2 linked regions of the Arabidopsis thaliana genome follow. The protein of the gene in region 2 interacts with the protein of the main gene of each other region in a pairwise test. Each region holds a gene or a part of one and is shown on either strand. Other genes may lie near its edges.

What was found. The genes of interacting proteins can lie anywhere in the genome.
Region 1: the proteins of LOL2 (region 2) and AT1G12440 interact in a two-hybrid assay, tested with the Arabidopsis thaliana proteins (one large-scale study listed by BioGRID).

What each region holds. Positions count from the first base shown.
Region 1 is NC_003070.9:4,239,437-4,246,967, forward strand, and holds AT1G12440 (A20/AN1-like zinc finger family protein), read right to left. Parts: upstream 3,766-7,531; 5' UTR 3,372-3,765; exon of another isoform or gene 2,924-3,371; 5' UTR 2,887-2,923; coding exon 2,380-2,886; 3' UTR 1,985-2,379; downstream 1-1,984. Other genes in the region: AT1G12450 (SNARE associated Golgi protein family), read left to right, coding at 5,060-5,320, 5,518-5,754, 5,857-6,074, 6,177-6,372. UniProt on the Arabidopsis thaliana protein: May be involved in environmental stress response.
Region 2 is NC_003075.7:11,485,938-11,493,441, reverse strand, and holds LOL2 (lsd one like 2), read right to left. Parts: upstream 4,467-7,504; 5' UTR 4,374-4,466; coding exon 4,205-4,373; intron 4,023-4,204; coding exon 3,915-4,022; intron 3,457-3,914; coding exon 3,347-3,456; coding exon of another isoform or gene 3,290-3,346; exon of another isoform or gene 3,223-3,289; coding exon 3,142-3,222; 3' UTR 3,019-3,141; downstream 1-3,018. Other genes in the region: AT4G21630 (Subtilase family protein), read left to right, coding at 1-85, 175-289, 381-573, 638-1,194; AT4G21620 (glycine-rich protein), read right to left, coding at 1,528-1,923; ENDO5 (endonuclease 5), read right to left, coding at 6,207-6,325, 6,409-6,482, 6,587-6,654, 6,757-6,849, 6,930-7,013, 7,185-7,240, 7,361-7,471. UniProt on the Arabidopsis thaliana protein: Putative zinc finger that may be involved in programmed cell death and defense response.

The DNA of each region.
Region 1 (7,531 bases), on a different chromosome or scaffold from region 2:
ATTGAATCTAGTATATGAAAATTTTAACTCAATATAGTTTAGTTTTAAAATGGAAATTTCTGGATCGACATTAAAATAATTGTTCGATCAAAATTATGATTCGATTTTTTTCATAAAATTTGTAGTTCGCTTACACCTGGTTCAAACATCATGATCCTTCCAAACCAAAAAACACCATCATAATAAGAAAAGAATGAATAACAAAATTTGAACATATTCAAATAGTGAATTCTTAACCCAATTGACACATCTCTGATATTTCATAATCAAATGTAAAACGAAACCTTTTTTTTTGCCATTCTGGTGCTTTATAGTGTGTATATACTGCAGCATTGATGTATAAAGAGGGAAACTTATTCAAAGCACTCAGACTATTCAGTATTCATGTAGGGGCCTTCTTCAATGAGAGACTTTACTAAAGTGAGTTATATTCAAGGAACAAAGAGTTATTTTCTATAAAATATAAAAGGGCACTTTGTTATTTCTCTTTCTAATTTCAGCATTATTTGTTTATTATATTGATCATAGGATTTGGGGAGATATTCTAGACATGTAAAATGTCCAAAATCGAAAATTTATGTTTAAAATCGAAAATTGAATTCATATAAAATTGTTTTTTTTTAGGGGTAAAACTATGAATTACAAAAGGTTATACGACTGATGCAACGTCAGATCATTCGATATTGCATCATGGCCTGAAAGTGGTTTTTTCCAAAGGTTGCAATGTCGCAGTAAGTACTTCATTGTTCCACTATTTTTTCATGTATAAGAAAGAAAAATAATAAAGCCTAAAGCAAAGAAGTACAAAACATGTTTCACAGTTGAAAACTAAAAGTCTACATGTTCATTTGTTAAGTTTTATAAAGAAAACTGTAGTGCACTGCTTTTCTCTCTTTGCTTTTTGTAAATTGGTTGATAAGATCCGAAAAATGGACCCAATATTGTAATGTAACCATCAAGAAGTGAAAGTGAAAGTGAAAGCAACAGTTTACCCACACCAAGGACATATGTTCTATCATTTCATAGTCTACCTCAACTCGTCGGTTGCAGTCTTAAGTTTTGATATCAATTTTTGTTTGTTACAGTTTTTCATAGTTTAGACAATTTAGAAACCGTATTGAAAATCAAATCCAGTTTCATCTAGTGAAATTTCAGATCAAAATCAGTTGTATGCGAAGACAGTATATAAAAAATTTGGATGGATACTTCTTTTATAAAAATAGATCAGATGCAACTAGTGCACTTGATTGTGGATATTGACATTGTTCAATACACACCATTCAAAGATCTGCATTGGCATTGACTATTCCATCTTTTTGCTAAAAACTTTTGATGGGTTACACTTTAAACATAACCCCAACGAGATGAAGATCATACAAGCACAGGGAAATAATCTTATGAGCATCATTGCTAGGGAATATGTATACACAAACGACAGAATGTATTCAATCTACAGTCATCGACTACAACACCGAATATCCCAACTAGTTCAAACAAATCGATCATGGCCAAAACCGAGCCTCAAGTCTTTAAAGTTTCTTAAGCTATCAAAGCATACTGCCACTACCAGGCAAAAATCACTGATTTCGTTCAATCACTGGGCACTATCACCTAAACATCTCTTAATCTGCCATGGTTCGATATAGGTAAACTACTTTGACTACTTCATTGGATCCACCATAAGCTATATAAAAACTCCACTTACTCTAAGTCCCACAACTCTTAAGTGAATCAAACTTTGTCCAGGTAAGAAGAACACTACTTTCTCCAGCTAAGACAGAGAAAGCAAAATCAATGACTCATTCAATCAAGGACACTTAACACCTAAACTAAAGACACATCTAAATCTTCCATGACTCGATAAAGATACCCTGAACAACATCTTCAGCTTCAGAAATTTCAAGCTACATACTTTATCCACCATAAGCTATAATGCTATATACAAACCCCAACTTGTTCGTCCACTATAAACAAACCAGGGGAATCCACCATAAGCTCTATACGACATCTTTAGTTTCAGAACTATCAAGCTACACACTTTTATCCACCATAAGCTATTTACGACCCCCAACTAGTTCATAAGCCTCATAACCAAGAGAATCCTATATCTGCAAACAATTCAACTTCTCCAAGTAAGAAGAAGTAAGCTGGTACCAATAAGAACACAATTTCATAATATAACCAACACTTTATTACAGAACAACAAATCCAATGTTGCAAAACATGAAACCACATAATAGCAGAATCTAAGGCCTTTCCTAAGAAACCCTAAAAGCAAATAAAACCATAATAAGAGCAGAAAACAGAGAGCCAAACCACCAACATCACGAGACTTGAAAATAAAAAAACAAAAGAGAACACAACAGTTTCTTCACCAATTCATATCCTATCAACCTTATCAGCCTTCACCACAGGATTAGCTTTAGCAATAGCTTCTCTCGCAACTCCTTTGAAATCGAATTGGCACTCGTGACTCTCTGGATATCTATGAGTTCCACAGAAAGTGCTTCCACACCTACACTTGAAACCCGTCACGCCAACTTTCTTGTTACAGCTCAAGCATCTCGTAGCCGTCGATTTCGGTGGATCCAACGGAGCAGCAGCCGAATCACCCCCTCTCGTTGATGAGGAAGACGATCCAGATCCGAGGACGCCTTGAGTGATTTCTTGGCTCTGTTGTGGTTGAGTTTTGGGTTTATTAGGGTTTAGAGATTTCTCGACGGCGGCTTTAGCGGAAGCGGTTTGTTCCTCCGTGGCTCGGATGTCTCTGTAGCATTTAGAGCAGAGGTTCATGTTCGATGGAGATCCGAAGAAGCCACATCCTTTGACGCAGAGCTTTGGCTCTGAAGGAGAGAAGCTTGTGCTGTCGTTTTGCTCAGAACCCATAATGGAAAGATCTCCCAATTCCAAAGTCGAAATCTTACTGCAAAAGAAAAGACAACACAAATCGTGAATAACAGATGAAGAATGAATTTGTGACTTTAGGTTTAGGGTTTTTATTTATGATTCCGTCGAGAAAATAAAGGGAAATTGACAATATCGAAAGATTTAGAAAACGGAGATTCTTGGCTTGTTTCTCAAGCGAGAAAGACTAAAATTATTTCTCATTTATGACTAAAATACCCTTGGAACTCTTTATAAAGTCGAAGAGTAAATGCGTCATTTGTCAACACTTAAGACCAGGTCAGCGTCTATCTCACAAAGACCACTTTACCCTTCCGGCGCAAAAAAGGACAAAAAAGAGATAGATAAGAGTTGTTTAATCTTCGCCGTCAAAAACTTAAATCGAATGGTTCAAGAATAGATGAAGGATTCAAACGAAGAACACAAATCTGCATATCGGCACAGAACAAAACCAATAAGATATTTACCTAATTCCCACCCAAAACTCTGCTTTAGTATGTCGGCGACAATTCTCTCGTAAAGAAAATCTCTGACGGTATGTATCACTGAAAATTTCCGATAGAAACTTCGTGATTTGATCGGAGATGGAGACCGTAACCGAAACCTCTTAGCTTTCGCCAGAGAGAAATTAGGACAGAACAGAAACCAGACTCTTTTAGTTCTTTTGCATTTGTCTTTGTGGTCAAATGGTTTATTCATATGCGGTAAGGCGCACGGAAGATTTAATACATCCCTGATAATATTCGTTCGATGAAACAATCGGAGAGTGATGACGCCATTGTTTACTAATCCAACGGTGGTGATTGGAAGTTTTTTGATGAGATAAAGTGGATATAAAATGGGTGGGGTTATCAACTTTTTATGGTGTTTGTGGATTACGATAAAGTTGGTTCGAGTTCGTGAAGATAATCGGTTTTATATGAACCGGGTTTGGTTTGTGGGGACATGCTTAGCTGGTTGGACGGTGACGTAACAGTAGGATAAAGAAAAAAGGTGGCGCGTTTGTCCCGACGCGATTAGTCCATCGCTCTTTTGATTTGATCGGAATGTGATGATATGTTGTTCCAAATGTACTCTTTCTTCCTTGGGCCTTTTCAATTATCTCTTTCTTTTCTTCGCTAAAACGACCGGATTTTAAAAGTGGTCAGGTCTTTTCTCACTGAGTTTACTTGCAAATATCAACATGACTAAATCGTTTTAATTTACGTAAAGTGTTTTGGACACCACTATATCTAATCTTGAGCTATAATTTGTTTATGCTTGTCCTTAAAATCGAGACTAATTCAATTTCCATTTATCTGGTTTGGAAACGACTAATCGAAATCCAAAATCATCGAACGCTATCATTCAAGACGTTATATTAGCAAGCGACTCTCACTCGCGACTGCATCCTTTTTTTTGGATCCAATACTGACCATAAGGTCCACAACCAAATTAAATTTGATATAGTTTGTGAATTGTTTATAGGGTCCATAAGCTTCTTAGTTCTTATGCTCCTCTTTGGTATGGTATTAATACTTCAAAACGTAGCTATCTAATCTATATATCATCTATCGATATGTTCATTTTTACAGGGAGTCTTGTTCTTATATTTTGCTTACAAGTATCAACTTTGGTTGCGTTTCATTCTCTTGTTCGATCCTCTCGTTTTCTTTTATGTTATGCTCCGTAATATATATAAATTGCCTTCAAGCAACTAAATTTCAATAATTAAATATGTTACGTATTTCTTCTGTCAGTACGATGTATGTACGCACCGTAACGGCAAAGCGAAAATAAAGCGCCGGTCTAAAGCAACTCTGCTTACACATTTATCGGTGGTTCGTGACGGAGCAACAGCTATTAGCCACTCATATGTCTCCACATGTTTGACTACGACACCGGTTTAATAAGTTGAAACTAAACCACCTAATTATAAGGATATCATTTTTTAAAAGTTTTTAAAGCTAAGAACGGAAACGAATAATAAAGATTCTTTCTTCTAACCCCATTCGCTCTCTCCGATCAACACAACATTTGATCTAACGGTTTAATTTTCTCGAGAAACCGAAGGAAAACAAACAGAGGTGCATAACGATTCTGACGGAAACTTTTGAGATATTTTTTTTAGAGCCAAAAGGATTCACTTTTTTTGGTTTTATCTTCGCATCGATCTATGACGTACAGCAATGGCGTCGATGGGACGGTGCCTGAGCTGAAATTGAGAGTCGAAGAAGATTCCGATAATGGTGATTATCTGAAATTGAGAGGAGGATCAAATGAAGAAGATGAAGGATCATCGGCGGAATCATCGAGATGTCCGATAGGATCGGTTACTTCTGTCTGGTTCTGGGTGAAATTGATCTCCTTGGTCGTTTGTTTGGGTTCATTGGCCTTTGTTATCATCAAATGGGTTGGTCCCTTTTTGATTGAAAAGGTTCGTTTTTTTTTTGTCTCTCGAAGATCTGATGCTTATTGGTTACATTTGATTGGATTAGGGTATGCATAATGATTCTGGTTTCTGCTGGGTTTTTAATTGTTGAAAATTAGGGTTCTTGAATTACATGTATGAGTATGTGTTTATAAGGAAGGTTATTCATTTATCATCATTAATGTTGGTGTGATTTGTTTCAGGAGCTGATTCCATTTATAAATTGGGTGAGAAACACATTCAGCATACCGGTTCTCGGTCTTCTACTATTTGCCTCAGTGGCATTGTTTCCAAGCATTCTTCTTCCTTCTTCCCCTTCCATGTGGATGGCTGGTCTTACATTTGGTTATGGAAAAGGGTTTCTTCTGATTTTATCAGCTGCTTCCATCGGTGTTACTCTTCCTTTCTTAATTGGACATCTCTTCCTCCACAAGATGCAAGTAAGCATCATCATCCCATACTCTTTGTTCGGATACTTATTATTAAGCTTGTACCATGAGATGATCAATTTGGACTTTTTTTCTTTCTTGTCATTTGTGCAGGAATGGTTGAAGAAATACCCTAAAAAAGCAGCCATACTTAGAGCTGCTGGTGAAGGAACCTGGTTTCATCAGTTTCAAGCAGTCACACTAATCCGTGTCTCTCCATTTCCTTACATCATTTACAACTACTGCGCTTTAGCGACTGGAGTTCATTATGGTCCTTATATCTTAGGCTCTCTTGTTGGAATGGTTCCTGAGATCTTTGTCTCAATTTACACGTACATGCCTCTCTCTCTTTCTCTATGTCTCTTGTCTCAATGTTTAAGGCATGTTCTGCAGAATCTTAAGACTGGTGGTTTTCTGTTTTGGGATATTTGCAGGGGTATAATGCTAAGGACACTAGCAGTTGCATCAGACACGAGACACACACTTTCGGTTGTGGAGATAGTCGTGAATGTTCTTGGCTTCTGTGTAACTGCGAGCGCGACTATAGTCTGCACAATCTATGCGAAGAAGAAGCTAAGTGCGATGCAATCAGAGGACGTAGAGACATTACAAAATCCAATACTTTATTAACTCTTTTCACCATGACCACAACATACCATCATCTAACACGATCTTGAAATTGATAATATATAATGTTTTTTTTTTTTTTTGTTATTCTTATTCATTTGAAAATGAATATTTATGTCTTTTTCTCTTGTATATATGATATGTATCAATTGAATTTTGAAAATTTCCAATGTATATTTATTAGATCATCTAAGTCTTTTTCTTTCCTTGCATATAATCCACCTTATGTATCATGGAACAATGTCTTGTTGGGTTTTGTTCAAAAGTAAAAACAAAAATGATCCATGAAGACTGTGTGTCCTCCTATGTTCCATGAAATTTATGTATCAAATGATCTTTGGAGCTAACTTCGATGCTGAGTGTCAATGATGACGTCATCTGTTTCGGTTTTGTTGACAGAGTAGTCAACGCGAGAACCTCTGTGATGTTTGGGTTTAGTGCCACGTTATTGGGCCGTCGGACCAACTGCGCCAACTTCAATTTCATATGGATAGGTTTGGATCAATTTCATATGGATCATATGATACGTTTGATGTATTTAACAAGGAATAATTTCCTGGCAATTTTTATTACTTGGTCTGAATAATGATGTAACGAGTGAAGAAAATATATAGCGTATCTTAAAATTAAGCATAAGTATTGAAAATCATCGAAAAAAGGAGCAAATCTGGCTTCATATAGTGAAAATATTGCTATGAAAGTCTCTGATAGACCTTAAAAAAAAAAAAAAGCAAACCCGTTTACTATATGAGCCATGTCTTGCACACCAGTCTCAAACCACAATAATATCTTCAAAACAATCAAGAAAGAAATGGAAAAAAAGGAAGAAGAACAAAATGATTAAACAAACTCAGTAAAACAGAGAGAACAAAAGCTACAGAAACAAACAAATAACAGAAAGACGTTTACTTTTGGTCACTCACTTGTCTCTGTCTCTAATTCTCTTCCCTTTTTCTAAAACCCATTAGTTTCCAAAAGTTTGATTTGGACCTCAACTAATGAATTAACCCCAAGCATTTCACAAAATGAAACCTACTCTCACTCAATGATCTCATCATAAGCCATGTAACATTCAACATTGCCTAAAAATAACTCATTCATTCTTACTTCACAAGTAATTTATCTTACTCCAAATAACATCTCATCATTTGAATCGAATATT
Region 2 (7,504 bases):
TTCTTGCTCGATACAACTCTATACCGTACATTTTCACAGATTATGAGATTGGAACTCACATTTTACAATACATACGTACTACCAGGTCTCTCTATCTTGATGCCAAAACACTCTGTTACATAAGTCCATTTACATTTCTTAAATATATACATTATTGATCCGTCAAACCTACAGATCTCCCACTGTGAGAATTAGTGCTGCTACGACCCTAAACGGTCAGCCTGCAATGACTAAGGTTGCTGAATTCTCATCTAGAGGGCCTAATTCTGTTTCACCAGCCATTCTCAAGGTTATAAATCCATTGTGTCTCTTATCTATGTTTACTTCAAAGTGTGGTTAAACGTTTTTGAGTAATTATGTGGTCAAGCTTTATTCTGTAGCCTGATATAGCAGCTCCGGGTGTTAGCATACTCGCGGCAGTGAGTCCGCTTGATCCTGATGCGTTCAACGGATTTGGACTTTATTCAGGGACATCGATGTCGACTCCTGTTGTTTCTGGAATCATTGCTCTCCTAAAATCACTACACCCTAACTGGTCTCCTGCTGCAATGAGATCAGCTTTGGTCACAACAGGTTCTTGCTTCTTCTTCTTTTCTTCTTTTTCAAGAACAAACCGACTAATCGATTTCCTTTGTAGCTTGGAGGACAAGTCCATCCGGAGAACCCATTTTTGCTCAAGGATCAAACAAGAAGCTTGCAGATCCATTTGACTATGGAGGAGGACTTGTAAACCCTGATAAAGCTGCTCAACCTGGTCTTGTCTACGATATGGGGATCAAAGATTACATCAATTATATGTGTTCCGCGGGTTACATCGACTCTTCAATCTCTCGTGTGCTTGGTAAAAAGACTAAATGCACAATTCCCAAGCCATCAATTCTTGATATCAACTTACCTTCAATCACAATTCCAAATCTTGAGAAAGAAGTCACACTTACAAGAACTGTAACCAATGTTGGACCCATCAAGTCAGTTTATAAAGCTGTAATCGAGTCTCCTCTCGGTATAACTCTCACCGTGAACCCAACCACTCTGGTGTTTAACTCTGCAGCAAAGAGAGTACTCACTTTCTCGGTTAAGGCTAAAACGAGTCATAAAGTCAACAGTGGCTATTTCTTTGGAAGCTTAACATGGACTGATGGTGTTCATGATGTTATAATACCTGTCTCTGTTAAGACAACGATTTCGATGTAATAAAAAGAGCCATATGATGCTCATGGTATTGGTTCTTATTATGTAATTTGTTGCAAATCTAAGTTTAAAAGTGTCAAATCAAGATTCAAGATCATCATAAAACAGATCAAATCACAATTAACTTAGAATCTCTTACACAAACATACAATAGAGAAAACAGTAAAGTTCCCTCATTTATTCATCACAACCATATATTATGCATATAAAACTGCTACAAATCGAATCAAGACAAAAGGATCCTCATGATCTCATAATCTATAGGCTATAACATAGAAAATACATAACCATCATAATGACTATATATTATAAAGATGATGTGATCTTTATTATATCTTAACAATAAGCGATACACTTCTTCTTACAATCCATAGTACATCCTCCACCGCCACCTCCACCGCCGTATCCTTTCCCGGAGCGGCTAAAAGATTTGAAACACTTAGCAGGACACCTAAGCTTCTTGCCGTTACAAGGTCCTTTCTCTTTGCAAGTAACCGTTGGTCTCACCACACCTCCTTTCCCAAACCCTCCGCTAGGACCACCAAACCCTCCACCGTATCCACCACCAACTCCAGTCCCCGGAAACCCGTTTCCAAACCCGGGTATAAATCCGGATCCGGGTACACCACCGAATCCTAAACCATCGTTCCCGCTCTTTTGACGAGCTGATTCAGTTGCAGAGACGAGGATGATGATAAGAAGAGAAGCCAAAAGGATAGATTTTGTGAACATTTTTGGTAATGTAGATATTTAGTGGGTTTGGTTGAGGAGATTAAATAAAAAGCTGGATGATATATAAAGATAGAGAAGAGCATTAAATTGGAAGGTATGAAAATACAGTTAAGACAATGATTCGTGGACTTTAGTGTGTAATACAATCACTTTAATGCCCGTACTACTACTCTACTTTGCAAAGAAGACTCTTGTGTCTTTCTCTATAGTCTCTATTACTTGCGTAACTAGTTGAGAGACTGTTCAAATATTTTTATTTAGCAGCACTTGGCGTTGGCGACATTTAATTTAAGCATGTGTTATTCAAAGAGCGACAGATAGTTTAAATTAAGATTTGATAGTGGAGGACTTTTGACAGATGTGTTCATGATAAAAAAAATAAAGGATTAATTACCTAAAGTTTGGATGAAATCCACAATTGGTATTCTCTGTAACCATCTGCCAAAAATTCAAAAATTTGTGTGTTAATAATAGTGTCTATTTATAAACACAACAAATTTCTAAGCAACTGTTTTATTACTCGCACAAAAAAAGAAACTTGTGGTGTTCATAATTTAATCTGTTCTATAAGGCCCACTCATTATTTCAATCCAACCATATCATTTAAGACTTTCAAGTCTTAAATCAAAATCTATGCAGGTTTGATTTAAAAGGATAAACTGGTTAACAAAATGTAAGTTTCGTCCAAGGTTTCATTAAATTTAGGGTTGATTTCCATTAAATTGGTTTCGTTGACAAGTTGGTTCTTCACCCACACACAGCTCTTGTTAGCTCTCTCGAGGACCCACCATTAGTTTGTATTTTATATGAAACTGTAATGTAAATTATTTATGCATATTTGGTTGGGTAAGAGTCCATGTTTTGTTTGCTATTTATACGACCTAATTATTGAAATTCATTGACAAATTCGGCCAAGTAGACTACTAGTTAGTTTTTCTCACCTGTGAAATATGAATTTTGTTTTTATGTATTGTGTGAGACTGTGAGCTGTGTTTGTTTATATTGGTCCAGTACATATATCAACTTTTGTATGGATATATACACATTCTTTTTAACCACTAAAGCTTAAAACAGTAAAGGATGATGAGCAAGTAATATCTGAAAGAATGGGAATTCAATGAGATTATTAATGGTGATTTTATTTCATCTATCCTTCGACATTATTACAAGGTTTTTAGTCGTCAAACCGGTTCAAAATTGACAAAAATCGGTTCAAGTTTAATTCTCTGCTCTCCTGAGACTGCTTAAACTTTTGAGTGGTCCTTGCTGCTCAGACCATGGAGGTCGTTTGTTGTTTTCCTGAAATATAACACAGTTTATTATAAATGATTCATCAGATGATTACTTACTCGGATCTCAAAATGTATCAACTCTTCCAAGTATGATTTGGACATGGAGCACAAAACCATCTGTGAATACATACACTGATATCTGTGACAGAATTGCAGGAGGAACATCTAACAGCTGGAGCTCCATAAGGATACATCAGTAGCAGTTTGCAATTGTTGCAATTCACCTGACCAACCTGGTTAGCTGCAAACAAAGAACGACAAGTCCAGAACCGATAAGAGAAGAAGGCTATTTCATCAATAATGAGGCCAAGTGATTCACAAGCTAAGAAGAACAATCTTGGTCTTAAGATCACACAATTTCCCCAAGAGTAGTAAGAGTAAAGGATAAAGACCACATAAATGGTCTACAAAGGAGACATTATGATGGAGTAGAGACCAAAAGGCTCACAAAAGCTTAAGAGAAGAATCCTAACCAAAGATCATTCTTGTGTCAGTTAAGAACTAAACTCATTTGGTCTCAGGAAGCTTACATTTTGAGATTCTCAAAAGAACATAGATATATCATTCACACATGCTAAGTAAAACTAGACTGAGAGAGCATTCCAAGATTGTTCCATTAAGAGTTTCAAGTGACTGAGATTATCAACAAAAGCTTTTCAAGTAATGAATAAGAGATAAAAAAGCCATGGAAGAACGAACCTTCAAGAACGAGATTAACAGTCTGACAAGAGGAGCACTTAACATGTTTGGATCCTCTTAGATAAGAAAGCAAACGCCTGCAAGATCCACATACCATTTGGGCCTTTTCTGCAACAACCCCAAAAACAAAGAAGATTTGCAGAAAAAAAACACTAATCAATTCTCGGAATCGAAAATGGGTTATCTCTAAAAGTCTACAAACTCCACTAAAAATCTCTAATTTGATCAGACTGTAGCAAGAAATGGAAGCAAATCGATAAACCCTAAAATAGACAAGACTACAAGAATACCGGGAATTTCTACGGTGGTGGGATTGGGGTTTACGGCGGCGGTGATGGTGACGATTGGAGGAGGAAGAACTGCAGATTCCCATCCCGGAGGCGGACCTTCCTCTTCCTCCTCTTCTTCTTCACGGTGCTTTTGTTCTTCCTTCTGCGTTTGTTGTTGTATCTCTTCCATCACGCCTTCCGTCTCGGCTCCGGCGAAGATGTCCAAAGTTAACTCTCAGATTATTATTACTTTTACCTTTTTAACTTTCCAGTAACGTTGACAAATAGTTGACTTTCTTAATAAATGTAAGGTAAAATTCAATACAAGAACAAACAAAAAAGATTTAGAAAGAAAATCAAAACAAATGATAGTAGATAAATTCGTTATTGCATCGGTGAATCAATGAACAATGTTCACATGACTCTCTTATCAATCAGATGGTAGTAACAACAGCATGCACTACAGCTAAATATTCTAGCTCATCCTTGGCTTTATATACATCGTCAAACCATTCTAGTATCCCCCAAATCTCTCCATCCTTGCGTTTTTCAATCGTAATTTCCGCACACCAAATTTTTCTCACGTTACCCCACTCCTTAGCACTCCACGTACACCACCACCATTTTTCCACCATAATATGCCAATTTAACATTACCATAAACTTTAGGCAATCTTTCCAACCCCTTCATAGTTGTCCATGATCCTTTTTCCGAGTCATACCAATCGATCATACCGTTACCACTTCTATTGCAACAGTAGAACACGTTCTTTATCACACAAAAAAATGATGAGCAACGCCATCCATTATTCATCGCTAAGTCTGCCGCTATCCATCTACCTTTATGCAGCTTGTAAGTCACATTATGAAAATACGACCTTACATAGACAGTTCCTTCATACACTATGCTCTCACACTTATAGCCTGTGCATATCTTCTCCTCACTCGGGAATTGCAAAAACTCCCAAGTTTGGGTTTTCGTATCAAAAACCTCCATCCATTTCGTTGAATCGAGAGTTCCGCGGCCTCCTGTTACATATATTTTCCCATCAAGGACGCAAGTAGATTGGAACACACGGGAAACCTGCATGCTAGGGGCCTCACACCATGTGTGAGTACGACAATCCATGACCATGACGCTAGACGAAGGTTTAGTTCTATTATTACTGAATCCCCCAATAGCGTAGATATTAGGACCAACAGCCACTACACTATCCGACCATGATGCAGATTTAGGATATGAAATTGGGATTAAAATCTTTTTTGAGCTATTTGGTTTGCGGCAAAGAGTGAACCAAATTAATTGTGGGTTAGAAGCGTCATATGTAATCTGCGTTAAGCACACGTACAAACAACTCTCGGTGCGGCCTAAGAGAGTTTGGGTCTGGTAAAGCTCCGTTGAAGTAAGGATAGAGCGGAATCTCTTGGATACTAAAGAGAGAGTTGGATAGTACTATCTTGAGATGCGGGCCAAATTAAACAGTTTAAAACCAAATCATCAGGAAGCATAAGAAAATTCATCCGTCTTCTTTTAAAAGGTGGCTCTTCTCCGTTCATTGCTGTGGAAGTGCACCCGAGAGCGCTAGCTGTGTCGGCTTTGCTTTTTTTTTCTCTCTCTCTTTTAGGGTTTAAGTAGCTTTTCACGTAAGAAACTCTTTTTTGTGTGTTTTGCGCTTAGGCTTTTTATGTCTCACTTGAAATCTTTATATAGCGAATTATCATTCCTAATCTAATGAGGAAATCTAACTTCTTTTTCTATTTTACTCCTTTATGTTAACTTACCTTTTTCATAAGATAAGAAGAAGGATACTAATTAACAAAACTGAAAACAAACAAAAAAAATGCAAAGTGTTATCCGTTAGTGTGGTTTGTTATTGGAAGTTTGAACCATGTCCCAAAATAACAAATTTTTGCATGAAGATTTTGGAGGTTCACTCATTAGTCATGACTCAACCATTCACAGTGTTATAAAAAACACTTAAAAGGAGTTGTTACGTGGGTTCTCAAGGATCTTTTTCTTAGATTCATAATCCTGCGAGCTTCGGTTTTGCAGAAAAGATACGATTAAGAGTAGCTGCCAAGCGAATCCCACCTTGTGCAAGTCTCTTCTCTACAACGGGTAACCGAGAAAGGAAATACTCATCTGCAGAGAAAGCAGAAGATCAAGTCATGTCCATGATTAAAGAAAACAAAAAGCCACGATCTGGTTTCATAGAGTAAGTATACCTCCTAAAGTAGTCCCCGGAGTAGCGTTCCTGTAAGCATACTTGCAGGCGAGATCAATGCTTTCAGAAGCATACCTTTAACACATCAAAGAACAAAGAGAATCAACAATGATATGGTAACGAAAACTAAGTTTTCTCTGCTATTAAGCAACTTAACAGATATATAGATGCTTGCTTACAGATTTGGACAGGCCTTTTGGTGAAAGTGACATGACTTCCACGACGGAACATCATTCGACCAGCCGTTCTATATTAAGACAGACGTAACAACAAACACTCAATGTAAGTTGTGTTTATCTTGGATACGGCTATAACTTGCTGAAGCTGATTAGAGAAGGCAAGATTGTACCTTGAGTTTGGCTTGAAGAGCTTGAATCATGTGTGGAAGGCTTGAATTGTAGTATGTTTCTAGAGCAGAGTCAATTATCATGTTGTCCCAGACCTTCAAGTTAAGATCGTTCCACTTCCGTGTCAGGAAAGATACTTTTTAGCATCAATATGACTAAAAAACAAAGCACTTACATGGTGCAAATTTGATTTGTTATGGTACCAGTTGACTATTATTGTGTTACCACCTAGATCTCCAAGAAAACCAGTATGCAAGGGCTGCGAAAATCATAATCCACATAAAGATTAGCCATACTCTTGTGTTGCTACTATACACTAATCAAACCTCCAGAGTCCAGAGTAGATAGAGTAGTAGCCTCAAATGCATATAACTCTGACAGCATTTGTTTGTAATATTATGATTCGACTGAATTTGCAAAAAGGACTAACCTGATGAACATCTCCCATATAATGTGACAAGAACAAGAGAGCCTCTGTCAAGTTGTCTGCCAAGAACAGAAAGAAAAAGACTTCTAAGTCACACTATTATGATCGATGTACTCACACAGAAATCAGTAAACTGAAACATTAAAAGAAGTATCAGATTCACTTAAAATCTAACTCACAGTGGACTATATTCTGTGAGTTTTCAGAAGCAGACATTAACTGGTTTGTGTAATTGAAGATCGCTCCTGTCACACACCAGTCCTTATGCTTATGAGTGTCATGGCAGTCCCCTTCACAAAACACAAAAGGACATAGAGTTGAAC